4 linked regions of the Stegostoma tigrinum genome follow. The protein of the gene in region 1 purifies or fractionates together with the protein of each later gene. This does not show direct contact. Links are inferred from orthologs where the notes say so. Each region holds a gene or a part of one and is shown in the gene's direction. Other genes may lie near its edges.

Region 1 (7,289 bases):
AAGGGATATTTAGAATGAAGATGTAAACTCTGCAGCATGCAAGTCTCGACCAAAGCATCCTAGTCTCAGTGCATTCTTCACAAATAGGCTCTGTGGTCCTTTAACACACTTGCACAAAAGTTAATAACTCAGAGCACTTCAGTCAATTGTGCCACCCATACTACTATTTCTAAAATAGACAGGGAAAACACAATTTTGGAGTCTTCCTAATTTGTATGGATCAGAAGCTGCCATTCAAATCTAGTAGCAAAGCTGCATAATTTTATATAGGAAGGTATAAATCTATGTATGCCTCAGAACTTTCACTAGAATGTAGTTTTAGTCAGCAATATATCTAAAATACATAAGAGAATCACCAAATTTAAAGGTCTAAATCACATGTGTAGAGTATCTTTGAATAACAGTTTGTACCTAAAATCAATGAAGACAACCGATGGTGAAGGTAGATGAAGCCAAAGCTTAGTTGTGCAAGGGCGCTGTTGGAGTTAACTGAAACTGACATTTTACAGCAGAGAACTATTTAGCTTCCTGCTGCTTAACACATAATATTATCAATTTAGTATTTCATTATAGGCTTATTTTCATGCATGTAAAATGCCAATTCCAATCACTCATCTTTTCCCTCTACACTAACTGATCAATTGTTCACCAGGCTCTCACTCAAAAATAGGACTGCACAGTCTGCCATATAAAAATGATTTAGTTTTGTTTTTAACTTCCATTATTTTAAGTGTCAGTTTAGAACCACTTTAATCCCAAATAAACCTTTCCAAAGGAAGATTATCTGTAGTTAGTCAAAATACAACTAATACTAGATATGAAGCACTACTCGCTGTACCCAAATTGACCTTTCCAGAGGAAGATTGACAGCATACCAATTTAATATATAGTTGATTAAAAACCAAAAGAACTGTGGATGTTGTAAATCGGGAACAAAAATGAAAGTTGCTGGAAAAGCTCAGCAGGTCTGGCAGCATCTGTGAAGAAAAAAATCAGTTAACCTTTTGGATCCGGTGATCCTTCCTCAAAAAACACATCTGGATTTAAAGCCATACCACAAGTATACATCAGGTATTTCAAATGAGGAGCATGGTCACTAGCAGAATACATCATGAAATGACTGAATGCATTGCCATCATCCTCCAGGCAGGTACAAGTGGCAACCTTTCCTTTTGTAAGATTATAGTTTGTGCTGTGCTTTGGTTCCAGTTGTGTTTGCTGCAGAAGACAAGTATGCTGATTAAGTTCATGATCCTTACCCCACCCAGTCAAACAAATTAACTCATCTCTTGCAAAGTTCTTCCAGCCAGTCTCCAAAGATCATGGCTATCAGTGACTGTCACCTAGTTATCAATGTCCATAATTTTCTTATCTCACTTGCAGATTGCCTTGTTTCAAGATTTCATAACTCAGTAGCTAATTCACCATACAGAAGGTGTTTTTGTATACTGCTGGCCATCCAAAGCAAACTTTAATGACCTAGCATTGAGGAATAGTGATGGAATTAGTACATCCCAGCACCTCTGAGTTGGAGACTATGAATATGTCTGAAACAGGTAATATCAAAACCATTTGGCTTTTCCTAATACCTGCATACTTTATTAAATTTTCACCACTGTAGAGGATTGCACTGAGGACACAGGCTTGGGAAGACTTAAAAAGTTTAACATGCTCAAGTTGTTGTTCACACTCTTACGTGGAAACTGAATAACAGTTGCAGCTTTTGTAATCTGTGTTGATTTCTGCATCAAGTAACAGATTTCAGGACTTTATGTAATCTAGATAATGTGAAGCTATCAACAATCTACTGTGTTCAAATCACTGATATTCTTGGTGTTCATCTCCAATGAGATTTATCTCTGTTAATGCAGATTTTTCACCATTTAATGGATTTTAGTGGATCATTGTTATTGTCCAGCCTCCTATGAAATTATCAATGAACTATAAAACAAAAAAATACCCATAATAATGGTTCATACATCATATAAACTTAGTAATTGATATTGATTTTTTGAATTATACTGGCATTTATGGCAGTTGGTGCATTAATTTTGCCAAATGCAGTGTATTATCAAATTACGTGAAAAGCTCAATGTTGCTCTAAAACAAATATAAATTGTGCATAGCGAATATTAATCAGAATTTTGATATTGTGGTTTACTCTAAGGTGGGTATCCCCATCAAGACAGCCATTACAGTTTTTGGAAGATAGAAATGACTATCAATGCAGCCCTAGAAACTTTTTCTCAATCCTCAAAACGGTGGTCTTCTGGACAGGGAAAGGATACTAAAAATCTAGAAAAAAAATCCTACTAAACATTGCTGATCTGATGTTTTTCATTCAAAAGATATTGTGGCATAAAGCAACACCTGCCCTTTATTTGTATAAATCCAGAAAGTACATCAACTGATGGATGTGCAGCCATGTAAGTGAAAACGAGGGTCGTGGGAAATGCAACAAAATGAAAAACGTGCGATTTTGATCCAAAATTAGTTAAACAATTACCTTAGACAACATACGTACCATTATTTTTCCAAAACATTTCAGGACATGAAAATGTAATGTTCTTTTTAAGTAGAATTACAGGCCGTACAATTGTGTTTTGGAATGATGTTATCGTTTCACTACTTCTATTACAAGTTTTGCGAGAACAAACAATTTTCTTCTTACTCATCCGCAAACGCCTATCCCATTCAAGGTCGGCCACTGTCGCCAAAGTCAAATTTTGTTTCCGAATAATATTAGTTGCACAAGAGTGGTTATTTAAGTCTTAACTTTTACAGTGTGAGTAACTGGTAATGGGGATACCAGAACTAATAAGGAGTCAGGGCTATTGCCATTCTCATCGAGCCAGTTGGAAAATAGATTGAAACACCACCACAAACTTCGAGCACACAAAGCAGGTTACCGTTGCAATGTAGTGTCGGAAATGTCATTCAGGTTGGACGTTAGTGATAATGGGAACTGCAGATGCTGGAGAATCCAAGATAATGAAATGTGAGGCTGGATGAACACAGCAGGCCAAGCAGCATCTCAGGAGCACAAAAGCTGACGTTTTGGGCCTAGACTCTTCTGCAGAGAGCTGATGAGAGCTCTGATGAAGGGTCTAGGCCCGAAACGTCAGCTTTTGTGCTCCTGAGATGCTGCTGGGCCTGCTGTGTTCATCCAGCCTCACATTTCATTATCCTGGTCAGACGTTAAACCAGGTCTGAGGAAGGGATCACTGGCCCCGAGGCGTTAACTGATTCTTCTTTACAGGTACTGCCAAACCTGCTAAGCTTTTCCAGCAACTCCTGTTTTTTTTTGGCGATAACAAGGTGTAGAGCTGGGTGAACGTAGCAGGCCAAGCAGCATCAGAGGATTTTCGGGTCTCCAACATCGGCAGTTCCTACTATTTCTGCTTTGTTTTTGGCTCCTGATTTACAGCAGCCACAGTTGTTTCGGGACTTTTTTTAAAAAAAAATAGACGTTACACCAGCCAGCTCTCATATGAAAGACCAGATGCCCCTGTTGTAAGTAAAGTTTTGCACTTGTCGGAGGTGAGGCAAACCACCTCATCAGTGGCACTTTAGTTACGCGCGAGATATTTTCTCCGTACCGAAGTTTTTAAAAAAAACGCAAAATACTGCGGACGTTGGAGATCCGAAACAAAATGCAGAAAGCGTTAGAGAAACTCAGCAGGTACCGAGTAGCGTCTGTGGAGGGAGGAACCGAGTTAGCGTTTCGAGCCCATCCCCATGGCAAGGTCATTTCTGAACATCGGTGTTGCATCAGATAAACCCTAGTGTCAACTGCAGTGACTGAAACGCTGTACGTTACCAAGGCGACAGTGCGTGGTCGAGTCTCCCGCACACGCCCTCTAGCCACCGGTTTAAAGGGCAGTAAGGGGGCGGGGCCTCTGGTGGACGCGGGACGTCAGTTCCGGTGGCGCGCGGCGTTCTGGGAAGGTGAAGCGGTTAAGGTCGGTTCCGCCGCCGGTTCGTCCGATTCTCTTTAGTGTTTGCCGTGTGTCGGCAGCGGGAAGCGGCTCTTCTTTCCTGCTTCGCAAGCGAATGGATTGACTCGTTTCTTCAGAAATTCGGCTTCAAGCTCGCTTTTTTGAAGAAAGGAGGTAAGTTTCGAGTGAAAAGTAGAGGCCGGAGAGGAGGCTACGGGGCAGCGGCCCCCAGCGCTCGGTTTGTCCCAGGAGTTGGGACCCGGCGGATCCGGGCGAGAAACTCTGGAGGAGGGCAGTCTGCTGCGGTGAGGATGACCAGGCCCCACTGCCATCTCGTGGGCCGTCTGAGACCCTTGTGAGAACCCTGCTCCCCCTGGAGTAGACCACCAGCTCAACCCGGTTGGTTTTTGAGTGCTGATCTGTCCCATATCATCTGGTCAGTCCAAACTCAGGGCCCATAGTTTTCCAAAATTCTGACAGCTTCCATCATGCATCCATTTTCCGAAAGTTGGTAAATCCTGAGCAAGTGTTAACAACACCACCTTCCCCAGAGTATGCTAAAGAAATGTTATCTGCCCGAATGAAAATAATTGAAGTGTTGTCATTGGCTAAATCGTGCTCTACAACTGAGAATATCCTAAAATCTGCAAATTACAGACTTTTGGAGTGTAAACGTATCACATACCGTCATTAGCAAAGCTCTTTACCCCGATAAATCAACTGTTTGTGTCTTTCCCAACATCCTAATGAGCAAGTTTGGAGCACCGTTCCCTTTTTAAAAAAACTTTGCATACTAGTGTTAGATGCCTAAACTGTGTTCCCCTCTTCATGTGCATTCCTGATCCTCAGATATGGTCTCCAAATTCCAAGCGACTGCTTTTGGTTTTATTATTTCATGGTCTGTCTCAAGTTGTGAGCTTTGTTTTGTTTTAAGAAACATCTTTTTAGTAATTCTTTTTTGTCCATGAATTATAATTCTGTATTGGCTGGTTGGAATGTACACAAATTAGCAGTTATATGGATTTAAACTTTGAGATTTTCTGCTTCAGTGCTCTCCAGATTGTTGATTTCCTGCTTGTGTTGATTAGTATATTGGTTTCATGGTAATTGTGCAGGCATTACACTATAAAATTGTTGCAGTTAATGCTTGTGTTGAATTTTCTTGGTATTTTGCAGATGTAATCTTCACTAACAGAATTAGGAAACCTGATGTCCCAAGTTACCATTTGTAGCAATTACACATCAGAAGTTTGTGGGAAGTTGGAGATTGACAGGACTGGGACAAATGGGAGGTTGAACATTATTGTAGAAGTTATGATGTATTCTGAATTTCTAAAGCTGTTTGGCTAGGCTATGTGTCAGCCTACAAAGTGGGATGGGCTCACTGAGTGTGGCTAAGGTGACTATTTTAAGAGGCTTAAAGGATATGAAGAGGCAGGAATGTTTTGGGAAGCAGCAGTAAGGGAATGGTTAAATAGTCAAAGGCAGAATTGCTAATGATGATCAAAGGGACCCAAAAAAAAACTAAAATTGGAAACCTCTGTGATGTGTTGCAGGATTGGTAAGTGTTAGAGGAGTGGGCAAAATGAGGTTTTTCAACAGTAGGATAAGATTTTTGAATGTGTTGCATTAACTAAAGTGTCTATAGATCAGTAATGGTAGGATTATATGCAAACAAAGTCGGGGGTTGGATGTGGTCAGTAAGGATTTTGAATGAGCTGAAGTTCTCAGATAGCTAAAATTTGGAGTGACTGTGGCATGGGTGGGATTTTTGGAAGGTTAAGATTTAGATATTTTTAGGTTCTTGCTAAGCATATTAAAGTTACCAAATCAAGGTATGTGAACATTGCGGTAAAAGACCAGCTATGATGCTGAATGATAGAAGAAACCTGGGTTGAATAGCCTAATCCTATTCCTGTTTGCTTTAAATACATCACAGGTGGTTGAACCTTTTTATCTTGTTTTAAGTCCAGTAGTGTATTTCTGCCGGCACAATCACTGAACAAACGGAATTGCCCACTGTACTCTTGATCACCTGTGCTTTTTGTTGATGACTTACTGTGACTTTTTTGCTTATTTACTTCACCCCATTTCCTCTTGTAATTTCTAATAAACTTGCCATACCTGTTGGCAAGGGTTGTTCCTTTTGCAATTGATTATTTGCATTTGAAGTGAAAGTTTCTAATTTTTGATACAAAGCACAACCGTTTTCAATTGTGATGTTAGTTAAGGACCAGTATGTCATTTCAGAGAATAAAATCTCCTGTGACAAAATTAAAAATGGAACAGAGCTCTCCTAATGCCCCATCAATATTCCATTCAACCAAAGCTATTAGAAGTAGAGATAAGTGTGAAGCTGGATGACCACAGCAGGCCAAGCGGCATCAAAGGAGCAGGAAAGCTTGACGTTTCAGATCAGAAGGGTCCCAACCCGAAATGTCAAGTTTTCCTGCTCTTCTGAAGCCGCTTGGCCTGCTGTATTCATCCAGCTTCACAACGTGTTATCTCAGATTCTCCAGCGTCGCCAGTCCCTACTATCTCTATCAGAAGTAAATTTAGCTATTCAGTCACTTGATATGAACATGAGAAATAGGAACGGGAGGAGGCCATTCAATCCTCGAAGCCCATACAGTGAGATGATCAACCATTGCTGAATCTACTCCACACCATTTTCTTGCATTGTCCCAGTTTCCTTTGATATCATTAATATGCAGAAATGTGCCAATTTCTGTCTAAGCTTCCACAACACTGGGGCAGAGTATTCTGAACATTCAGCACCCACTGAAGAAATTCTTTCTCAATTCTGAATGGCCTCACATTATTCTACAACTCTTAATTTTTAATTTAATTTAATTTAATTTAATTTAATTTAATTTAATTTAATTTAATTTAAATTATATTAGATTCCCGACAGTGTGGAAACAGGCCGTTCGGCCCAACAAGTCCATGCTGCCCCTTGGAGCATCCCATCCCCCCCCATAACCCACACACCCCTGAACACTATGGGCAATTTAGCATGGCCGATCCACCTAGCCTGCACATCTTTGGACACTGTGAGGAAACTGGAGCACCTGGAGGAAACCCACGCCGACACGGGGCGAATGTGCAAACTCCGCACGGAGAGTTACCGGAGGCTGGAATCGAACCCGGGTCCCTGGTACTGAGACTGCAGTGCTAACCACTGAGCCACCGTGCCGCCCCTCTTGTCCACTGGTTTTTGACCTCCCCTTGCAAGGACAGACATCCTCTTGAATCTACCCTATCAAGCCATGTATATTTTATATGTTTGAATGCGACTATACTTCATTCTTCTCAATTTTATAAAATAAAAGCCTAGTCTGTTTAATCTTT
Region 2 (7,574 bases), on another chromosome or scaffold:
TGTGGTCCTAAGATGCTGCTTGGCCTGCTGCGGTCATCCAGCTCCACACTATCTCAGATTCTCCAGCATCTGCAGTTACCATTATCTCTGGAGGCATTGGACACTCCAAAGGCCGTGGGGCCCTGACATCATTCTGGCAATAGTTCTGAAGACTTGTGCTTCAACTGTGATACCAGTTTGGGTTCCAGCAGGGCCACTCAGCTCCTGACTTCACTACAGCCTTGGTTCAAATGTGGACAAAAGAGCTGAATTCCAGAGAGGAGGTGAGAGTCACAGCTCTTCACACCAGGACCGCATTCGACCGACTGTGGCATCAAGGAATCCTCGAAAGACTGGAATCAATGGGTATCAGTAGGCAACCTCTTCACTGGTTGAGAATCACACCTGGAACACTGGAAGATGTTTGTGGTTGTTGTACTTAATCATCTCAGCTCCAGGACATCTCTGCAGAAGTTCCTCAGGGTAGTGGCCTAGGCCAAGCCATCTTCAGTTGCTTTATCAATAACATTCCCTCCATCAGAAGGTCAGAACTAGGGATATTTTCCAATGATTGCATAATGTTCAGCACCATTCATGACGCCTCAGACGCTGATGCAATAAGACCCGATCAAAATCCAGGCTTGTGCTGACAAGTGGCAAGTAACATTCATGCCAGACAAATGCCAGGCTATGACCATCACCAATAGGAGACATTCTAACCACCATGTCTTGACATTCAATAGCAGTACAATCACTGAATCTACCCCTATCAACATCCTTCAGTTACCATTGACAAGACACTCAACTGAATTCACCACATAAACATTGACTACAAGAGCAGGCTTAAGGCTAGCAATACTACAATGAGTAACTCATCTCCAGCTTTCCTAAAGCCTGTCCACCATCTACAAGGTACAAGTTGGAAGTGTGCTGGAATGTTCCCCACTTGTCTGGATAGGTGCAGGTCCAACAACACTGAAGAAGCTTAACACCATCCAGGACAAAACAGCTGCTTGATTGGCACTAATCAACAAACGTTCATTCTCTCCACCACCAATGCTTAGGAGTAGCATTGCGCACTGCAGAAATTCACCAAAGCACTTAGACAGTACTTTCCAAACTCATGACCAATTCCATCTAGATAGTTAAGGACAACAGATACATGGGAACACCACCACCAAGTTCCCCACTGAACTACTTACCGTCCTGACTTGAAATATGTCATCATTCCTTCACTTTTTCTGGGTCAAAATCCTGGAATTTCCTCCCTAATAGCATTGTGGCTCAAACCACAACACATGGACTCCAGTGGTTCAAGAAGGTAAGATCACTCCCAACTTTTCAATGGCAGCTAGGAACAGGCAATGAATGCTGGCCAGTTAGCAATGCCCTGGTCCCATGAATGAATTAAAAAAGTGTTCTCCTAAGAATTTGGATCCTGTACTGGGTGAAATGTGCTGCTAAGTAGCCTTATCATCTCGTAGAGTTAAACAATATATGCAGTTCGACTGTTACGAAGAAGTCTGGCTTGGGCTTCTATTATGATCAAATAACTCATCAGCAAACAACACTGCAGTGAAAATGTTTTTACTGAGGGGGAGCAGTAAACAAAGGACATTTTTTAAGAAAATAAAATAAGTAGTCGGGAGATGAAATGCTCTGAGCTGTTCTGTTCTAATGTCATACAAACCATAAGAAATTGACCACTTGACCCTTGAGACTCTTCCACCATTCAACAAGATTATGGTGAAAAGACTGTGGTCTTAACTCCACTTTTCTTCCTTTATCCTCTAACTGTTGACTGCCTTATAATCAAAAATCTGTCTAATTCAATTTTAAGCATATTTAATGACCCAGTCTCAACTATTCTCTGGAGTTAATACTCCCAAAAACTAATGGCCCTCAGAGAAGAAATTCCTCTTCATCTCCATCTTAATTGGACACATTATTTTAAAACCATGTCATGTAGTTCTAGATTCCATGATAAGCAGATAACATATACTCAGCATTTGCTCCGTTTAGCCCGCCAGAATCATATACATTAAGATCATCTTGCAGTCTAATAAACTCCAGTGGGTAGAGACTCTATCTTTTTAGCTATTCCTCAGAAGAGAACCCCTTCATCTTTGGAATCAACACAGTGAATCTTCTATGAACTGCCTTCACTGGAAGCATAACCCTCTTACATAATGAAGCCAAAAAGTATGCGAAATTATTTTACATGAGGTGTCATTGACTCTTCTATAAAGAAAGGTTAGCAAGTCTTGCCAATTTACAGTCCATTCTCTTTGCATTAAAGGCCTATATTCCATTTGCTTTCTGAATTCTTTGCAGTATCTGCAGAGATGTTTTGTGATTAGTGTACAAGAATATCCAAATTCCCCTGTACCACACCATCCTGCATTTTTTCTTTTTCTTGGAATAATTGGAGACATCATAACCCCAGTTTTTTTAGCTAAGTGAGGTTGGCTGTCATTTTACGATTCTCATTCTTTTGCCCTGACTTTTTCCTTTAAGTACAAGTTATCTTTTGAATTGCAATTATCTTAAGACCATGTGATTTGCCAGACCTTAGACATTTACCAGAGATTCTTTCCCCACAGCGCTTAACATTTAAAATTCAATTTCTACATTTTCTACAAGGTTACATCTCTAAATCACATGAAATCATTAGGCATTTACTACAAGGAAATTACAAGACAAACCAGAAGCAATAAGAAAAGACAAAGATTTGTTTTGATCTCCGATGCACTACCTGTAAGGGTGGAAGTAGTAAATTCAACAGTGACTTACAAAAAAGAATTGGATAAATGTTACAGGTAAAAAGAAAAGGCAAGGCAATAAGAGTAATAAAAATAGTTCAATATAGCTCAACCAAACAGCCAGCATAGGCACAATCTCCAAATGACCTCACTCAGTCCTGTATCATTTCTATGGTTAGGATTACCACAGATCTAACTTTGAACTAACACTCATCCTAAGATTTATAACCATGTATAGTGAACACCAAACCCAATCATCTTAAAGTTCAGAATTTATTTTTCCAGATTGCTTCCCTGTATCATCAAGTAGCAGCCTTAATTGCTATTAAGGCTAGTAATGAATTTTGATTAGTGCCAGAGGAAACATCAGAATGCAAGATATGATACCCACTCCTTTATTCTTCTAACATCTTGAACTTGAAATTCAGCAGCAATTCTACCTTAAATTCAACTCATTGATCTCTGCATAGAAACACTGTGTCATTTCCTTTATTTATACAGTTGCTACATACTAATGTACAAAGCATGCATAGTTACTACTTTAGATTTCCAAACTAATGTGACACAAATAGTAGGTCAATCAGTCTATGCAGTTTATAACTTAGCAGCCTTCCAGTTATCTCTTTTAATGCCAATTCCCGACACTTTACTCGTATAGTTTTCACCACATTTGATCCCTATCTCATGAGAAATTCCTGCTCTTATTCCTATCTTTTATTTATTTTGCTCTAAGAGATCCATAAGATGTCTGAGATTTTTCTATCATTTAATAAGGCTGGCTGAGCTTTGACTTTGATTTCCTTTCTCTCTCATTCTTTTTGATTCCTTTAACAACCAAAACATCCAATAGTGATGGCAGATAACCCAGAGCACTCTGGGCTAAAGAATTCCAAAGATTCATAACCTTCTGAACAACGGCATTTCCCCACATCTCAGTCCTAAATGTCTCATTCCTTCTCCAGAGACAGCAATCCCTAATTCTAGATTATCCTGCTGGGGAAACAATCTGTCAGCGTCTATCCTTTCAAGCTGTCTCAGGAACTCACATTTCAACAAGTTCATCTCTAATTCTGATAACTTTACCCAATAAGGGAGGAAAAAGCTATTATTTGATGTTGAACAACATCTGACTTAGTAGTAATTATATAAAGGTAAAGTTGCCATGACCTCAGAGGACCCTAATGCTGCTGTCTCATTAGAGATGATTGGTGGAGTTTAACCTGAAGCTCATGACACCTCAGACGAGGAGCGAGATTGAGAAGGTGGGACCCTCATAGTAATTTACGAGAATTGAACCCAAGCTGTTGCATGATAAAGCAGCTGTCTAACCAACTGAACTAACCAATCCCCATGGTAGATATAAGAGTACAGGCTATCATTAGTGTACTATGAAAGGTAACCCATTCCTGCGGATGATATGAGGGGAAGCACGTTGAAGAAGAGAGGAGCAAAGGATAGACTCTCAAGCACAGCTATCTGCAAACAGAGTGCTTCAAATGTCATTATTGATGCTTGCAGATAAGATATGCCCAGTAACTGATATCTCCAACCAGACACTAATCAATAATGACAATGACCATATCTTCCCCCCCCCCCCCCCCCCCGCAGTAATCCAGCAGCAGCTTTGTCGATGATGCATAGGCAGTCAGTGGCATTGGGTTAGTAATGTGCCAGCAGCTCTGTCAGCAATCTCCCTGCTTCTCCAGCAGAGGCGCTCACTCTCGGGGGTTTACGGTAGGCCGGTGCTGACCCCACACTGAGTCTGCGCGGCGCGGAGCCGAGCCGAGCCGAGCCTCGAGGAGCCGGGTCGATCGGTGCAGGGTGACGGAGCCCGAATCGAAGCGGAGCCCGAGGCCGGAGCTGAGCCCGAGTCCCCGCCATCGTCCTCACCATGAGCGACATCAACGTGAAGAAACTGAAGGTGCCCGAGCTCAAGGATGAGCTGAAGCGGCGCGGCTTGAGTGTGCAGGGCCTGAAAGCCGAGCTCCAGGAGCGGCTGCAGGCCGCACTCGACAGCGAGGCCGAGGAGGAGATGATGGAAGAGGAGGAGGAGGAGGAAGACGGGGGGCCCGGGCCGCTGGAGACCCCCGAGAACGGCGAGGAGGAGCTGGAAGACGAGACGGCAGGCGGCGAGGAGGAGGAGGAGGAGGAGCCGCCGCAGTTGGCGGGAGGAGACAAAGCCGAGGCCCAGGCGCGGGGCCCGGGACTGAACGGCGCTTCCCTGGCCGCTGGGCTGGAACCGCCGGCGGCCGTAGTGAGCCAAGTCCAGGCGGAGGAGGAGGAATCTCAAGGAGAGGCCGAAGTCCTGGTCCGAGCCGCGGGAGGGGGAATGGACGACGAGGAGGAGGAGGAGGAGGAGGTCGAGAGCAAAACAGGCGAGAGCGGCCTGGGCGACGAGGAGGAGGAGGAAAACGGGATGGGAGAGGCGGAGGGAGCGGTACCGGAGCCGGCCCGGGTCCAAGAGCAAACCCAAGTCCAGGCTGAGGCGCAGCAAAGAGCGGGAGAAGAGGAAACAATGGAGCTGGGGGACGGCGAGGCGCGGGCTGGTGGCAAACAGGAACCTGAGGCCGCTTCGGTCCCGGCTCCCGCCCCTCAACACTCCAGCAAAGGTGGGGGAACCCGCCTCCCTTCGCCCGGGGGCGGGGAACCTGGGCTTTTTATTTCTCATTCATCCGTTTTATTTCACAAAAAAAAACTAAAACATCAACGAGCCTCAGAACCCATCACTTCCGGCGCCTCCATTGGGCTCCGGCTGCTGGGCGCGCGTGTTAGACCGTGCCCAGGGGGTGGGGGGGTGGTGGAGGAGGAGCTGCTTCAGCCTGAGTCCCAGTCTCTTATCAGAGAGAGACTGGATTTAAAATGGGAGAGTGGATTGGAGGCGGGGGTGGGTGGTGGTGTGGGATGAGGATACAGGATGGCTGAAGGAAGCCACTGAGAAAATGGAGGGTGGAAATAATGCAAACCAAAATGGAGTAGCTCAAGGAATTAGGAAAAGGTTGTAGGGGGAGGGGAAGTGGGAATAGAAACAACTTTGCACCTTCTCTTTTATTTTGCTTTGCATTTGCTGTTCGATGTTTTAGATTAGAAAATCACTTCCAGCACTGTCAGGCCAGATAAGCCACATGCTTTTATCATTTTCTGAAGAAGGGCCTAGGCCCAAAACGTCAGCCTTCCTGGTCCTCTGCTGTGTTCATCCAGCTCTACACCTTGTTATTGCAGATTCTTCAGTATCTGCAGTTCCTACTATCTTTTATATCAGAGCATTTTGATGAAAAGTAGGCCGTCAGGTTGGAGTGGGGATTTAGCTAAAACATAAGGTCAGGGCACCTTTAGGGTACAGTAACTTGGCTGTGTCTCTGAAGAAGTGCAGGGAAGGGCTGGAGTTGCATGTATAGCTTGCATCTGTGAATGTTTGGTCAGTTTGAAGTTGAAGCTTCATCCCATCCTGGATTTCATCCAAAAAGTTTTGGAGGAGTTGAGTGGGTTAAAGTTGATTATGAAGTAACTGCATGTGTGAAATGTGGTCTTAATTCTGTGGTTAAATGGAGATCACTTTTAGGTTTAGGGCTAGTAATGGATTCTTAAACCTCCCAGAAAAACTATGGGACCGGGTGGATAAAACAGTGGGAATGGTTTAGAAAAGCTTGCAGCCAAGCACATATAGCCCCAATGTGTGGGAAGGCTTTGACAAAAACTGTGGGTTGCAAATGATGAAATTGGCTAATGCATTGTATGTGCAAGGCTGCGTTTACTCTGTAGCTTGGATGGTAGCTTGATATCGGGTCATGGGAGAAATTAAGTTTATTTTAGAAAACGACAATGTCTTTGACAACATGGAAGGCAAACAGTCTGGAGGTATGTTGCTTGTGAGTGTGGGTCCTTGAGTCAGAGAAGAATTTTTTGTGTTGGCAATATTTTTATACAAGGTAAGCGTTTAGAGAAGGTGGGCCACTTTCAATGGCTCCTAATGGCAAACTTCTTTCATGTTTCAATCTTTGAAAAATCTATGATCTGTAAGGAATTTAAATTATAAATATAATCTATAGAATCACAGCATCTGCTAGGTAATTCAAGTTCTAAAATAGTAATATTTGTGTTTTTTTTGCTAAAAGTCAACCCTAAACTAATATAAATCGTCTTTGCCTTCCCTTCAGCATCATGTTCATCCAAAGCTGGAAATTTGAGTGTACAATTTGTAAAGTTCCCTTCCCCCCAACAGCAATTGATGTATAATTAACACCTGTATTGTGTATTTAATTATACTTGGTGGTCGATTTTGCATGAAGCAGAATATTGCATGGTAATTGTGTGATGTAGCAATCCTGGCAGTATATAGTAATGATACATGCAGTGCATTATCAGTCATGAAATAGTCATTCACAAACAACTTGGCTTCTACAGAGTGTGCTATGTAAACATTGCATGGGATGCTGGACTGCAATATCGATGTACAACTGAGACCAAGTGGACACCGTCCTGTCTGAGAAAAGGTTGAATTGAATTTCCACTGTCCAGATTTGAAGAAAGCAGCAGTGTTTAATTTCACTGCTTTGGTGTGTAGCAGATGTAGTTATTTAAGACACCTTGTGCTGCTTGGCAAACTCAATTTTCTGGCATGTAGATAGATGCATATTGCTTATGAAGAGCTTTGTTCGGGCTGGTTTGTTTTGAGTATTTGAGAGCATTCAGACTTGGTGAAATCCTATTTTGTTAAAGTACCCAGGCAATTTGTACACCGTGCATTGTCAAGTCTGATAAGATATCTCATTGTTTTGTTCAGCTCCATCACTTCTTGTGGACCAACTTTTCAGCAGTGACCGTTGAGAACATTTG
Region 3 (8,375 bases), on another chromosome or scaffold:
ATTTGAGAGTTTAACAGTTTTGACAAAAATCTGTAGCTTAGGTTGTGGGTGAGGTTGTTGACTTGCTCGCTGAGCTGGCCTGTTCACGTTCAGACGTTTCGTTACCATGCTAAGTGACGTCAGTGGAGCCTCCGATGAAACAATGTTATTCTACTCCGCTTGGAATTTATATGGTTGGTCTGTTACGCTAAGTAGTGTTATTTCCTGTTTTGATCTGTATGGGTTTGTATATGGGGTTCAATTCTATAGGTTTGTCGATTGCATTGCAGGTGACAATCATGCCTCTAGGAATGCCTGTGCGTATCTAGGATTGGCTTGGGCTATTCTCCTTACCTTGCCCCAGCAAGACTGCCTTTTAGTAGCTCAGCAGCACCACCTGTAGGAATGTAACAATCAACACTGCTTGCTAGCTTGCATCTATCCTGGACCCACTGGCGAACACACCCGCATCTTTTACACTGAAGAAACAGATACTGTGTAGAATTGGTGTTCTGTGCGCTTCGTAACATAGTTGAGAATTGACTATATTTCTTTTAATAGATCTCACTCTTAAAAGTAAGGTGTATATAATGTATCATTTGACCTATCTCATTCATTACAATCACAAATCATACTCTAGATTAAACGTAAAATTGAGATTGTGAATCATTACTTCCACCATGAGCATGTGGGTGAATACACACTGTAGAACTAAACATCAAGTCGGATGGAGGCAATTTATATAGATCATGGTTGATCAGCAACATGACCACCATCTATGCACCATGGTTCCAAAGACGGCCTTCATATCCTCCGATGGCACTGAGCATGGTGACGAAACGTCTGAACGAGAACCAAAATCTGAACTCCATTTTAAAATTTGTAATTGACCTTAACCTAATAATTTGTCTGGCCTTCCATACAAGGATGTAGAATAAGGTAGGTACACTATGCAGGCTCCAAGTCCACTACAACATTAATTATGGCTGATCTGCTTCTATTCCGAATTCCACATTCCTATCTACGCCCAATTATCTTTGATAAAAAAGACAACCTGTGAGAAGTGATTTCAATCAGCTTCCCTGAATAGCCTAGCTGTTATAGATTCTTGTACAGCAAACTATTGGGGATTGAAGACAGCCAAGTCCACAGGGCCTGAGATAACAAGGTGTAGAGCTGGATGAACAGAGCAGCCTTCCTGCTCATCTGATGCTGCTTGGCCTGCTGTGTTCATCCAGCTCTACACCTTGTTATCTCAGATTCTCCAGCATCTGCAGTTCCTACTATATCCTCCACAGGGACTGATGGCCTATATCCTAAGGTCTTAAATGAAGTGGCAGCAGAAACAGTGGATCCATTGTTTATAATATTCCAAAATTCCCTGAATGCAGGAAAGGTTCCAGTGGGTTGTAAAATGCAAATATAATGCCCTTGTTTGAAAAGGGAGACAGGCAGAAAGTAGGAAACTATAAACCAGTTGATTAAACATGTGCCATTTGGAACTGGTTACAATCCATTCATTAATAACAGGATATTTTAAAAATGAATAACATTTGGGACGTCAAAATGCACTCAAGAGTCAGCATGATTTTATTTAGCGTAAATTCTGTTTGACTAATTTGCTAGAGTTCTTTGTTGATGTAACAAGCAAGATAGATAATAGGAATTTATAAGTGTAGAATATCTGGGACTTCCAGAAGGCATTGATAAGGCGCTGCACAAAAGGTTAATCCATGAGATAGGATCACATGAGGCTGAGTAATTTATTAGCTTGGATAGAGGATTGGCTAACCAACATAGCATACGGTGCTGAGGAACAGTCACTGACCCAAAATGGTAATTCTGATTTCTCTTCATAGATGTTGCCAGACCTGCTAAGTTTTTCCTGCAATCTCTATTTTTGTTTCTGATTTACAGTACCTGCAGTTTTTCCACATTTTATTCAGAGGATACATCAGACTTTTTCTGATTTGCAGATGTCTCTAGTGGTATGCACAGATTTTGATCCTTAGGACACAACTATTTACAATCTATATTTGTGACTTAGGTGCAGGGAAACAAAGTACTAGAATGAAATTTGTAGATAACACTAAAAGTGGGAAATATGTTGCAATGAAGTAATAAGAATTTTACAAGTGGAAATCGATAGGTTACATTATGGGTCAAAATTAAGCAGATGAAGTTTAACATGGATAAAAAAGATTACCTATTTTGATTAAAGAAATAGGAAAGCAATTTATCTAAACAGAGAGAGAAACTTCAGAGTGCAGAGGGATCCAAGTGTACTTCTGCAAGAATCCGAGAAAATGAAGATACATGTACCACTGGCGATAAGAAAGGCAAATGGAATTTTGACTTTTGTTACTAAGGAAGTAGAAGAAAAAGTAAAATGTTTGCTGCAACTGTACAAGGTTAGCGAGATAGCACCTGGAGTATTGTATTCAATTTTGGTCCTTTTACATGAGGAGTGATGTAGTTGCATTGGAGGCAGTTCAGAAGAGGTTCACTACATCAATTCTGGGATGAAGTGTTTGTACTATGAAGACAACTTCATCTAAAGTCCAGAGTATATGCCCATAGAACTGCCTACTCACCTCATCTGTCAACTACTGATGTTTTCAAAAAAACTGAGAACATCTTAGTTGGACCTAAGAAAGACAGATCGCTATTTTCTCACTGTTCAGAAAAGGAAAGTGTGGATGAGGAGAAAGAGATTTATGGATGTAAGGATTGGAATGAGGTCAGCCAGCTGGACTGCATGCTTTCCTGGAACTTCCCTGTTTCCTCGCTGGACTTTTGAACACCTTTGAAAATGAGATGGTCACATTGATTGCTTTCCACCATACTCCAAATCTCTTTAAAAATTTCTCAATTTTTGGATGTCATCAGACTCATGTTCACAGTTTCCATTTCCTTTTACCACCTCTTTGGTCTTTCTGTAGATGATAGTCAGCCAGTAAGAGGTAATTGTAAGAAAAGAATACCAGCTTGATGTTAGTGGATCTGGCCATCCATGTGACACAAATGGAAAGTTTATCCTGCAATGGACAGATTCATCTGGCCTTGACCAGATGTATCCAAGCTGCATTCCATCTCCAAGGTTGAAGATGTGCTGCATAAGGCAGCATCTTTTACTGTTTCCATTAGTAGCATGGAGGTGGCTTCAGGACTTTTACATTCAAATAGGATGCCACTTGTTCTACATTGAACCAAGTGCAATGGAGAATCATCCTGAAAAGATATATAGTAATGATTCCAAACACTTCCACATTATGCACACATGTAAATTAAGGATTCACAAATGGCACACCCACAACATACGTACCTGGGGAGAATACAGGATAGGAATCCTTCAATTCGCTGCCCATCTTCTCACTAAGTATTTGTTCTACATTACAATAATTCTAAATTTCAAAAAGTACTTAGTTAATTATAAGGCATTTTGGGGCATTCTGAAGTAATGAAAGAGAATTAAAGCGTGCATATTATGTAGTACTATTCACAAACTTAATGTTCTACAAATTAAATTACCACTTGGAGAGTGGTTGCCATTGTAACATAGTAAAGTTAATAAATAAATTGAATTGTTTCTTTCAGATTTCCATCCTTAATGTAACATACAAAAGCAGTGATGTGATATGAATATCAGAAATATTATTTTTGAAAAATCCCTGAAAAATTATGTATTACTTTGAGTGAGCTCCAACTTTAGCTAGATTGAATTTAAATACAACTTGCCTGAATCTTTGCTTCTGATACATACAGCCTCTCAGCATTTTTAAAGCTATATTAAAAAAAAACCCCTCTACCAAGGATCATCCAAGGAATATTCAATATAATGCACTATTGAAACGATCTGCACAACTGTTGCCAGACAAAACTACTTTTTTGTTTTCACCAAACCCATTATATATTGCTACATCAAGGCTGATAATGAGATCAACATATAAAAACCAAAAGACCTGCGGATGCTGTAAGTCAGGAACAAAACCAGAAGCTGCTGGAAAAGCTCAGTTCTCAGTCCTCAGAACACCGGACCCGAAACGTTAAACTTTGTTTTTGTTCAATCAATATACGTGTTTAATATGCTGTAGTTACACAGTCTTTCTACTATGTGTCTTTACACCCAGTCTGCCACAATTTTCAAGAATGTATCGGCTTTTCGTTAAATCACCCTGAATTGCTGTGGTTGTATTTTCAATGCCAACGGGTACTCTTAACAGCATTCCACCGAAATGGTGATCGCACCGAAGATAAAATGCAGTGATAATGGGAACTGCAGATGCTGGAGAATCCAAGATAACAAAGTGTGGAGCTGGATGAACACAGCAGGCCAAGCAGCATCTCAGGAGCACAAAAGCTGACGTTTCGGGCTCTCTGATGAAGGAAAAATGCACATGCATTATGGGTTTACATCAACAATTATCACTAAATACAGTTAGAGATTTATAAACTAATAAGAAGCTACAGATACAAAAAGTTTTAATAAAGTAAATGAAGTACGAAAACTCCCCTCAAATATCTGTATGAGTGGTCTTAAAACACTTGGGTCCCCCAAAATCTTAAGTTAAACAAAACGCTCAGGTTGGCATCAGTTATATACAACGATCTCCTGGAAGGAACATGGATAATTGCCCAAACTGAACGTGCAGTTCAGAAAGCCTAATACTTATCAACTTTGAAACGTGTCAAGAAATCATTGGTTTACAGATTAGAGATGGATGTTAGGGACTATTATGTCTCGGATAGCAATTCCAAACGTTAAAAATAAAGGGATAACAACTTTGAATGAATAGCAACCTCAGGCTACCTGCAGAGCCAAGTAAAACATTTAAAAGCTCACGCCTAATTTCAATTTACTAAAAGAGATGAAACTGAATGGCGAAGAAACTCAACAAACGTGAACTTCGGGCGATAGAAGTAAAGTTAACCTTCGAAGTCCGGTAAGGCTGACTCTTTGTTTCAGAACTGTGTTGGCTTACATTCATTTAAAAAAATACTTTTCGACAATATGTCGAAGAAAGTTGAGGCAATTTCAGTGATATTTCTATCTGGTTGTCAACACGTGACCATACTAATACTTACTTCAGTAAGATTGAACCGTATCACTCCTAACTTCCAAATAGCCGGGTTTAAACAATTTGATTGACAAACGAACCAGGTTTTCGTGAATCGCCTCTTTCACGACTGGAAGGAAACGCCGTAACAAGATTTCATCGTAGGCCGCTACCCTTTGGGCCAATAGGAATTGTCGATGACCGCAAAGTGTATAACTGACGTTCGTCGTAACCAATGCACTTGAAGAAGTCGTGGAGGCGCGGGTGTGATGGATAAACAGATTATCCAATGGAAGAGGAGGGGGTGGTGCTTCGCTTGCTGGCGGCGCGCGGGGTTGACTTTGTTTGATTTTAACGGATTTTTTTTCCGCCTCTGCGCTTGGCCTGGGCTTTTCCCCTTTCTCAGCTCGAGTCCCGGAAAGACATCAGTGCTGCCGGCACTCTCACCCCGTACCGAGTACGGGGCTCAGACAGAGTGAGTGTGAACTTGTCGAATAAGAAAAATAATATGAGAACTCGACGTGAACTGGGAAACAGGCCCAGGCCATGCGGCACAGGGGCCTATGCTTCTCGAAGTTAGGCCTCGGCTTTGGAGAGATTGGTCACCCCCAGACAGAGGCACTGTTGGCTAGAAGGGTGAAGAGATGGAGTGATGGACGGAAGACCGGGAGTTTTATTATGCCTATTATGAGGAAAATGCGATGGAGACTAGTGGGCTTTCTAGTGGTAGGGAAAAGGAAATCCTAACTCGAGATCGGGGATGTAAACCGGTGGTGTAGGCCCTTTTAAAAAAGAGCGACGGTTGTAAGATGGAAACAGAAGAGGAGGGTGGAGGTCCCCGGTGGATGGGATTTTAGTGTCCTGGCGGCTTCAGCCCACAGAGGGAAAAGGGTGGATGGTGGAATGGGGCCAATGCATTTGTTAGAACAATGCGCTTTGCGCCCGGGCTTTTGTACCCAACAACCTCCAATCACTTCATTGAACAAAGCCCCTTTAAGCACGTATTAATAGCAAAAATAAGTCTTTCAACCGAACGGAAATGTTATATTTATGACCTCAATGTTAGCAATATCTTCTCAAAAACGCTTATTAAACATTTGCCTAAAACCCACACGTCCATTACATAAACTTAAATTTCCAAATGACTGACTTCCCTCTTCGTCCCAGAAATTTTTTTTCAGCAGTTCTTTATTCACCAAATTTCGGGTAAATTATCAATTGATTGCAAATGCGTTGCACACGAATGAATATGTAGATACGGTTGACTTACCAAGTGAAGGTAGTTAAAGCATGCTATGTCTGTTTCTGAGATAACAAGGTGCAGAGCTGGATGAACACAGCAGGCCAAGCAGCATCAGAGGAGCAGGAAGGCTGACGTTTCGGGCCTAGTCCCTTCTTCAGAAATTTCTAGGCCCGAAACCTCAGCCTTCCTGCTCCTCTGATGCTGCTTGGCCTGCTGTGTTTATCCAGCTCTCCACCTTGTTCTCCAGCATCTGCAGTTCCTACTATCTCTATGCCTGTTTCTTGTTCTTTTTAAGGTTTCATCTTTATTTGCAGCTACCCACATTAGCAAATCTGAATGACAATAACACAGTTAATCACATTTGTTCTTCCCAGGAGTCCGTTTTTTTTAATATATAGGGCTGCTTTGAAATGTTGAAGATTCACCAGCTGTATGACACCACTCTTTCCATTGTCTAGCTCAGATTGCCTGATTCAATAATATCATTGATCTAGATTCGTGTTTACTTCGACTCGGATCCATTGGGTTCAACTCATTCATGCCAGCGAGATTGCCTAAACTGATCTAGTCCCATTTGCCAGCATTTAGCCCATATCGCTCTAAGCCTTTCATATTCATGTACCCATCTGGATGCCTTTAAAATACTGTGATTGTACCAGCCTCCACCACTTCTTCTGGCACCTCATCCCATACATGTACCACCCTTTGCATGAAAAAACTGTCCCTCAGGTCCCTTTTATATCTTTCCCCTCCTATCTTAAACCTATGCTGTCTGGTTTTGGACTCCATTTTGCAGTTTCCTAAAAACTGAAAGCATCAAAGATATTAAAGTTGGTGTTTGTAACTCAGCGCATTTCTAAACAACTTCTCCAGAGGATGATAATACAAAACAATTATTATAAAGAACAATGTGTTCAACAAGAGCTTTTTTCAAAATATAACAAGGTTCTATAAACTGAAATGGCAGTATTGGCTAAAGTAGTGGTTGAGTGTAGAATTCAAAATACAGTTGTTGGAAAAGCTCAGAGATAATGGGAACTGCAGATGCTGGAGAATCCAAGATAACAGTGTGAAGCTGGATGAGCACAGCAGGCCAAGCAGCACCTCAGCACCACAAAAGCTGACGTTTCAGGCCTAGATTGAAACGTCAGCTTTTGTGCTCTGAGGTGCTGCTTGCCCTGCTGTGTTCATCCAGCTTCACACTTTATGTTGGAATAGCTCAGCAGGTCTGGCAGCATCTGTGAAGGAAAAAATCAGACTTAACATTTCTGATCTAGTGACCCTTCTCAGAACGCTGTAGAATGTTGATCAATCGCTGGTGCGCCTTACTGAATTGCTTAATATTTGTTTTATTTAATTTTATTTCTGGCAAAGACAATGCATGGCAATGCTTGTGATTAAATAACATACCACACAGCACCAAGACATTTTTGCGAGGGGTCTTGAGTAAAACCATGTTGGAGTGGTAAAGTATAATTTCTGATTGTGGGCCTACTCTTTGATGCATTTGGAGGCTTTTAAATTATGTAGATTATTAATACCAAAGTTGGTTGTATTTTTAAAGGCGTGGAGAGTGCAATCAATTTGCACTTGTACAGTTCCACCTTGAAAATATTAAAGATGATTTATGGGGCAGAAAGAAGTAGTACAATAATATAAAGAGAATGTAGCATCAATGCTAAGAGTTTGGAGTGTGTCAATAAGTGGTAATGATTAAAATAAAATGGAGTATCAGGACAAAGATTTGAAGTGCAGTCTGTTGTAAACATGTTACCATTCTAGATCAGAGAAGGCAGTAGTGGTATGTGTTTGGAGTCCAGGGACGTTCAGGTGATATTTGATCGTGTTTCGCTATTGAAGTGTGGTGTAAGTGTGAGCTTCCAAGAACGGTATTAGAGTGTTTTTCACTTGAATAGTACATAATCAATGGGTTATTACATAAGGTAGCAATTTGCAGCTCCTGTCTGCTCTGGCTGTCCAAATGAGCATGCAGTTGGTGCTGTTATGCTGCTTTTTTTTCCCATAATCCTGCATATTGATCTTTTTCGAACGTTTAATTAAAGTTGCCTCCAGCATATTCTCTGACAGTGTGTTCC
Region 4 (8,158 bases), on another chromosome or scaffold:
CGTCAGCACAGACTACTGAAGGTGCTGGGTGTTTGGTTTGGTGGAGCTGGGGCTTGCACTAAGACTTGGGAGGAGCGTATCACCAAACTGAAGCAGAAGCTGGGCAGGTGGACGCTCCGGTCCCTGTCCATCGCGGGTAAGAACCTTGTTGTCGGGTGCGAGGGGCTCTCGGTACTGTTGTATGTGGCGCAGGCCTGGCCTATTCCCTGGACCTGCGCCGCTGCGGTCACCCGGGCCATCTTCCACTTCATTTGGGGGTCGAGGATGGACCGAGTCTGCAGGGAAACCATGTACAAAGACCTGGTAAATGGGGGAAAGGGCGTACCGAACGCCACCCTCGCCCTGACGGCTACCTTTGTGTGTGGCTGCATCAAGCTGTGTGTAGATCCTCAGTACGCAAACACCAAGTGTCACTACTTACTGAGGTTCTACCTGTCCTCGGTGTTGCGAAGGATGGGCCTGGCCTCGTTGCCGCGGAACGCTCCGAGTAGTTGGACCGTTCCGTACCACCTGTCCTTCGTGGAGAAATTTTTGAAAGGAAACACCTTTGACCACAAGGCCGTAGTATCCTCGAGACCCTTCGGGAAAAGGAGAGGGTGGATCCCGTCGTGTGGTTCCCCACGCAGACTGCCAAAGTCGTTTGGCAGAATGCCTCATCGCCAGAACTTTCAAACACGCACAAGGACATTGCTTGGCTGGTAGTGAGAGGGGCGCTGCCAGTGAGATCCTTTATGCATGCCCGGAATCTCTGCGCCACCGCACGCTGCCCTCGAGGCGGCTGCTGGGGGGACAAGACTGTCGATCACCTCCTTCTGGAGTGTGCCTGTGCACAGGAGGTCTGGAGGGTGATGCAGTGGTATTTGTCGAGGTTCGTCCCGAGCAGCTCCGTGACGCGGGACTCCGTGCTCTACGGGCTGTTTCCTGGGACGCACACTGAGACCAACATCAACTGCGCCTGGAGGACCATCAATGCGGTGAAAGACGCTCTTTGGTCTGCCCGCAACTTGCTGGTCTGCCAGCTGAAAAAACTGACCCCGACCGAATGTTACAGACTGGCGCACTCCCAAGGTCCAGGACTACGTGCTGAAGGACGCACTAAAGCTTGGGGCAGCCGCCGCCAAGGCGCGGTGGGGAAAGACCACGGTATGAAACCCCTCGTCCAGAATAGAAAAAAGGGCTCTATCTGGTAACTGGGCCCAGCTGGCGCCTTCCCCAACTGGTCAGGGGGCCAACTGGGACTGTGCAGGGTGACGACTGCCGGGGTGTTTTTCTTTTCTTTGTTTTTTTTTCTTCTTTGTTTGTTTTTTTTGGTTTTTTTTTCTTCTTTGTTTGTTTTTTTCCTTTAGTTGATGTGTGTACCCCCTGGGTAACCCGGAGCAGCTTGCATGACTGAGTAGGTGTATAAATATGTTTTATTTTTTGTACATCTTATGAATAAAGTACATTTTTTCAAATAAAAAAAGGTGACGAAATGTCTGAAAACTAACCTTCCAGCTCAGCGAGCAAACTCCCATCCATGCAAGTAATGTCGTCAAAGAATTCCACCAAATCAGTTGAACATGACCTACCCTTCGTGAACCCATGCTAGGTATTCCCACTGGGAGAATTTCTATCTAGATGTCTTGCTATTTCTTCCTTAATGATGGATTCAAGCATTTTCCCCACTACCGAAATTAAATTAACTGGCCTATAGTTACTCGTCTTTTGTCTACTTCCTTTTTTAAACAGTGGCGTCACATTGGCTGTTTTCCAATCTGTGGGAACAACCCCAGAGTCCAGTGAATTTTGGAACATAGTTACTAGTGCATTTGCTATTTTCCCCATCACCTCTTTTTGTACCCTAGGATGCATTTCATCAGGGCCAGAAGACTTGTCTACCTTTAGCCCTATTATCTTGCCCAGCACTGCCTATTTAGTGATAATGATAGTTTCTATGTCCTCACCTGCTATAACCTTCTTGCGATCAGTTTTTGGTATGTTATTTGTGTCTTCCACTGTGCAGACCGACACAAAGTAACTGTTTAATGCCTTGGCTATTTCCTCATTCCCAGTTATTAAATTGGCCTTCTCATCCTCTTAAGGACCAATGTTTACCTTGTCACTTTTTTCCAATTTACATATTTATAGAAAACTCTGCTGCCTGATTTTATATTTTTTGAGCTAATTTACTCTCATAATCTATCTTACTTTTCTTTAACTTTTTTCTGGTTTTCTGATAGCCTTTTAAAGATTTCCCAGTCTACCAGTTTCCCACTAATCTTTGCTTTTTTTTGTATGCATTTTTAAAAAATATGATACTTTCCTTTATTTCCTTAGACATCCATGGCTGACTATTTCTTTTCCTACAGTTCTTCCTTATCATTGGAATATACTTCCGCTGAGCACTGTGAAAAATTGTTTTGGAAGTCCTCCACTGTTCCTGAAATGACACACCATAAAGTTTTTGCACCCATTCTACCTTAGCTAACTCCTCCCTCATCCCATCATAGTCTCCTTTGTTTAAGCACAGAACATTGGTACTGGATTTATGCTTCATGCTCCATCTGTATTTTAAATTTGACCATACTATGATCGCTCGTTCTGAGAGGATCCCTAACTTTGAGATCATTAATTGTTCCTGTCTCATTACACAGGACTAGATCTAGGATAGCTTGCTCCTTTGTAGGTTCCATTACGTATTGTTCAAGGGATGCATTCTATGAATCCCTCGTCAAGGCTGCCATGACCGACCTGGTTTGGCTAATCGATATGTAGATTAAAATCCCCCATGATGATTGCTGTACCATTTTTACATGCATTAGCTATTTCTATGTTTATTGCCTGTACCACAATGATGTCATTATTTGGAGGCCTATAGATCACACCTATCAGTGACTTCTTCTCCCTGCTATTCCTAATTTCCAGCTGAATCGATTCAACTTCTTGTTCAGGAGAACCTATATCATCTCTCTCTACCACCGTGATATAATCCTTAAAAATCAGAGAAACACCGCCTCCCTTACCTTCCTGTCTGTCCTTCCGAACAGTTTGATACCCCTGGATATTTAACTCGCAGTCATGACCATCCTGCAACCATGTCTCTGTAATGGCCACTAAATCATACCTATTTGCCATGATTTGTGCCCTCAACTCATCCACTTTGTTTCGAATACCCCAAGCATTCAGATAAAGTGCCCTTATGCCAGCTTTTGCACCTTCTTTCTCAGTCCAATCACCTCCATTACTAACAGCTGTTGAGTTCTCCTTCCCATTACCTTTTTTCCTAATTTTCAATGGAGTTGAAGCTTCCTTGTCACCCGCTAACCTGCTGTTTTGCCTTGCATTAATTGTTATACTCCCTGTACGCTTACTCCTCCCTTCTCCCTCCCCGCTTACTAGTTTATTGACCACCCTATTTACCCTTTTCGCTAGAACACTGGACCCGGCCCTGTTCAGGCGGAATCCATCCCAGCGGTGTAGATCCCTCCTGTTCCAGAACTGATGCCAGTGCCCCACGTGTACACTTCCCTGATCCTCACCTCCCTATGTCAATTTGCACGTGGCTCGAGCAGCAATCCAGAGAGCATGACCCTTGAAGACCTTTTTTTAAAATTTTGTTCCTAGCTTTTCATAATTCCTAAACAGGTCTTTTCACCTCATCCGGCCTATGTTGTTGGTACCGATGTGGACCACAACAACTAGATCCTTCCCCTCCCTCTCTAGTATCCTTTCAAGCTGGTTGGAGATGTCTCACACCCTGATACTATGCAGGCAATACACCATGCAGGATTCTCTATCCTGTTTACTGAGGATACTGTCTTTCCCCCAATGATGGAATCCCCTACAACTATGATCTGTCTCTCAGCTCCCCCCTCTTGAATGGCCTCCTGGACCATGGAGTCTTGGTCAGTTGCCTCATCCACGGGTGCAAGTGCCTCATACCTGTGGGACAATGTCAGAGGTTGTTGTGCCTGTGTTCCTCTCGGCAGGGTCCCTCTACCTTCCTCACTCGCAGTCACACACTGCTGTCCCTGCCTGCCAATTGAATTAACATTAGTTAATCTACTAGGTGTGACTGCCTCCTGGAACAGAGCATCCAAGTATCTCGCCCCCCCCTCCCGGATGTGCCGCAGTGTTTGGAGTTCAGAGTCTAGCTCATCAATTTTGAGCCAGAGGTCAAACAGTCAATACTTGCTGCAGATGTGGTCACTGCTGTTCTCGATGGGATCAGCTAGTTCTTCTCACATCATGCAGCTGCAACACATGATCTGACCTGCCACCTCTACCTAGTTAATTGTTTAAAATTAATTAGTTTTTTTAGTTTTGCAGTATTCTCTGCACCAGTAAGTTTACTGTTATGCACTTAAACAGACTCCGGCTTTGCCTTCCAGACTGCTCCTAGAGGATTTGGCACCCAGGTGACCTCTTGGAAAGGAAACAAAGAGATGAGGGAAAACATGCAAATAGGATGAGGGGGAATCTGATTGAAACTTACAGGATACTGAGATACCTCGATCGAGTGGATGTGGAGAAGATGTTTGTATTAGTTGGAGAGACTGGGACCCAAGGGCAAAGCCTCAGAATGAATGGACAACCTTTTAGACCTGAGATGAGGAAGAATTTATTCTGCCCAGGGTGGTGAATCTGTGAAACTCATTGATGCAGAAGGCTGTTGGGTCCTATCAATGAGTCAATTTAAGATACACATTGGTTCTTGATTAGAATAGGGATCAAGGTTTACAAGGAGAAAGCTGGAGAATGAGTTTAAGAAACATATCAGCATGATCGAATGACGGAGCAAACTCGATGAGCTGAATGATCTAATTCTGCTCCGAAATCATACGATCTTATGGGCCGGATGGTTTCATTCTATAGTCGTACAACCCTATGATTGGTCTTCGCGAGGGTGCCTCACAAAATCTCTGCATTGATATCTGATCTAAAAGATTAAATAGGAATGGCACTGGCTTTATCCTTTACGAAGAAAAGATTCAACGGTTTGCAGCTCGATATGAGCCGGGGCTTTTCCACTCCGTGATCATGCATTCCTTGGAGCCCTGTCATTCATCTTTGGGGGCGTGGTCACCAGCTGTTTGTACCCAATGGAAAAGATGAGGGAGCGGGACCTGACGTTGGGGCCGCGCCCACCATTGATGATGTCCTTGCGGGGCAGGTCGGGAGACCCCACCATGAGAACGCGTGAGTGGAACTTGGGGGCTTTGGGAGGTGTGTGCCGTGCCGCCATTTTGTAGGTCGGTGTGTGAGAGAACGGAAAGGGGAAGGTAGAGTAATTCAACTGACAGGGAGGGATTTGGGGAGTATCAGCCGGCATCACATCTACTTGACTTTGCTGGCATAGAGCAGCATGTGAGTTGGTGTTGTCCCTGGTTGTAACTCGGGGTGGGAGGGGGCTGGTACCGTGCCCGAAAATCGAGCAGTGTCAGCGAATCCATGGGCCGCAGGCAGACCCGGAGCCTCACTCTGGGTAGGCGTGGGCCGGGGCCTGGACACTGAGACCTCTGCTGTACTGAATGAGCAGAGTGTGTACTCCGTAAATCGAAGGGGTGGAGTTTTTAGCTCCGGGATTCGAGGCCGGACTGTAGCCTTTGTCTATGTCACATGGCTGCGGGATGGCAGGGGAAAGCTGGAACGAGACAGGACCGCGTTGACTTCCTTTATTTTCCCCCGTCTCTCCGATCTGACCTTCCCCCTCCGTGGCCCTGACTACTTTGGAGTGGTGTCGGTGAATCCCTTTCCCAGTTACTGGACGGAGTGTTAGTTGGCCGGCACTTCCCGCTGTTGCCGCATCCCAGACATATGTTCGTGAACCGGTATTCGCTATCGTGCTCCATTCGAGGAGGCGAAAAGGCTTGTTTTATCATTTGTCATTTATCTTTGAACTGGAGTCTATTACTAATGCAAGCTCGCTGGCTGGGCTGGGAACGATGACTAAAGCTGAGATCACTGCAAACGGATCTGGCAATATGATTCCTAGCCAGCTTGGTCATGTCTAGTCCTTTTCCGCTCTAAATGTTTTAATAATTTTAGGACTGTCAATTTAGGGCTATCAATTTCTAAGACATTACCGCGCCTATTTTTGCTTTCATTTATGTGTACACGTGTACAGATGTCTACTGAAGAAATGGCTACCGAGCATATGAATGGAAATGGTACGGAAGAGCCGATGGATACTTCCACTGCCGTTGTTCGATCTGAACACTATCAAACTTTATTAAGTGCTGGTTTACCAAAGAAAGTTGCGGACAAGCTAGATGAGATGTATTTAGCAGGTATGGTTGCAAACTGCATGAGTACTCTGTACTAAAACTTATCTTGCTATCAATTTGTTACCTGTTTCAGTTTGATACGTTCTTGTGTCCATTTTGTGTTGATTATGCAATTTCAATTCCATTAAAAATATGGGGATACGTCAAGGAAAGAACACTGCTGGCATTCTCGTGGAATACAGGGGGTGGCTTGGACTGACTCATCCTGCAAGTGATCTTCATCTATTTATAGACAAAGGAAATATGTATGCAAGAATAAGGTGACAAGATCAGTAAAACAACTATCTTTTTGTTGCGTTAATCTCAGAGCCAGCGTTCACGTAGAGAACAAAATGGATAGTTTTCTTGAAAGGTTGAAATTCACCATATTGTCATGCAGGCACTGGCATTGCCCAGTGTTACATTTAAGCCTGCAGAGACGGATCATGATTTGCTTCCTTTGAGTTGTTTGGTTTCTGCTAGAGCCTGCTGAGTCATAAGTTAACTTCAACCTCTTAAATCACAGCAGAAAAGAACTGTGTCTTGTTCTTATTGCCGTTCTGACTGTTTTATTATTTAGTCTGAAGATGTTTAGAGAATGTGAACCATGCTAATCTTGATGTCCCACTATGCTTCATAGACAATAAAATACTTCTGTACTGTAGTCATTATTGAAGTATAGGCAGATTTAAACCCACCAGTCTTTTTTCCATTTAACAAGAAACTTGTTAAAACAAATCATGCAGTAATATTAGAGAAGGGTCTAGGCCCGAAACGTCAACCTTGCTGCTCCTGTGCTGCTTGGCCTGCTGTGCATCCAGCTCAACATCTTATCATTGCAATAATGTTAATTGAGATTACAGTTGGCTAGGAGAGTGTCTGCTGTTCAACAGGTTCATGGGATCATCAACACCCACTGAGGGGTTATTTCTGATAGATTAGTTGCCTGACATACGGCCTAGATTTTGTTGCTCAATTCTTATCTCCATATTTTTAGCAGCATCTAGTGGTAAGAGCTCTAAGTTGTTTTTCATCTAGTTAACTCCATGAATAAAATTTAAATACAAAAGGTTCCTTTCCCTTCATCTTTGAATATCATAGACCTGTTATTTTGCTTCTTCCAGGAAAGTTTGTTGAAGAAATATTGCCTTTGAGCCTTCAGCTATAGGTTATTCTGAAATTGGTGGGAAATGTCCTTCACTACTCTGCTTGAAAAACTGCCTAACCTAATGCTGGATATTGGAATCCCCTGAAGTTTCTTAAAATTACTTATGTCTGTCCTGTCTCTTCTGTTATTGGTGAAACTTATTACTGCTGATTTGCCAACTCCACTCTAATCGCCTGAAGGCCTCCATGTTAATTGATGAGTTCTATCCCTCAATAGTACTCCCTCTTACTTAAAATTTTCCATCACCCTAACCTTTTTTAAAAAAATTGACTTGACTGCCCTTGCAAACTTCCAGCTCAACTCCAACCTGCCTTTCTTATCAAAACCCTCCAGATTCATTGCCACCTCCCATATCTGTTCTTGAATTCCCAAACCTTTTGCTTGAATCCTTCCACTCAGGCTTCTGTTCATGCAGTAGTGCCAAAAGGCTCTTACTAAAGTCACAAATTGGTTTCTGAGTGGCTGTGATGATGGTAAACTTTCCTCCTTCATCCTCATTGCCCTGGTCTACATCTTTATTTGGTTGTACAATTGCTATACCACCTCCACTGTCATTCTGCTAAGTGGGACTGTTCTCATGCCAAATCACTTGCACTATCTTCTTGTCCCAGCACCATAACCTCTGGTGTCTCCCCAGGATCTATCTTTATATCCCTTACTTCTCAACTACGTGCTGCTGCTCAACACCCCCCATTTGAAGATGCGGGGTATGTTTTCACGTGAAGGTTGGCACCCAGCTCTAGCT

The links.
Region 2: the proteins of stau1 (region 1) and hnrnpua purify together in Homo sapiens (affinity purification with mass spectrometry; 4 studies listed by BioGRID and IntAct, with this or other methods). This does not show direct contact. The link is inferred for Stegostoma tigrinum from reciprocal best matches to the Homo sapiens genes STAU1 and HNRNPU.
Region 3: the proteins of stau1 (region 1) and ELAV-like protein 1 purify together in Homo sapiens (affinity purification with mass spectrometry; 3 studies listed by BioGRID, with this or other methods). This does not show direct contact. The link is inferred for Stegostoma tigrinum from reciprocal best matches to the Homo sapiens genes STAU1 and ELAVL1.
Region 4: the proteins of stau1 (region 1) and heterogeneous nuclear ribonucleoprotein Q purify together in Homo sapiens (affinity purification with mass spectrometry; 3 studies listed by BioGRID, with this or other methods). This does not show direct contact. The link is inferred for Stegostoma tigrinum from reciprocal best matches to the Homo sapiens genes STAU1 and SYNCRIP.

Annotation. Positions count from the first base shown.
Region 1 is NC_081372.1:32,630,904-32,638,192, reverse strand, and holds the start of stau1 (double-stranded RNA-binding protein Staufen homolog 1), read left to right. Parts: upstream 1-3,924; 5' UTR 3,925-4,112; intron 4,113-7,289. UniProt on the Homo sapiens protein: Binds double-stranded RNA (regardless of the sequence) and tubulin.
Region 2 is NC_081362.1:86,362,090-86,369,663, forward strand, and holds the start of hnrnpua (heterogeneous nuclear ribonucleoprotein U), read left to right. Parts: upstream 1-4,478; 5' UTR 4,479-4,632; coding exon 4,633-5,350; intron 5,351-7,574. UniProt on the Homo sapiens protein: DNA- and RNA-binding protein involved in several cellular processes such as nuclear chromatin organization, telomere-length regulation, transcription, mRNA alternative splicing and stability, Xist-mediated transcriptional silencing and mitotic cell progression.
Region 3 is NC_081383.1:36,221,465-36,229,839, reverse strand, and holds the start of ELAV-like protein 1, read left to right. Parts: upstream 1-5,352; 5' UTR 5,353-5,511; intron 5,512-8,375. UniProt on the Homo sapiens protein: RNA-binding protein that binds to the 3'-UTR region of mRNAs and increases their stability.
Region 4 is NC_081362.1:29,838,024-29,846,181, reverse strand, and holds the start of heterogeneous nuclear ribonucleoprotein Q, read left to right. Parts: upstream 1-5,063; 5' UTR 5,064-5,178; exon of another isoform or gene 5,179-5,346; intron 5,347-6,106; coding exon 6,107-6,269; intron 6,270-8,158. UniProt on the Homo sapiens protein: Heterogenous nuclear ribonucleoprotein (hnRNP) implicated in mRNA processing mechanisms. Component of the CRD-mediated complex that promotes MYC mRNA stability.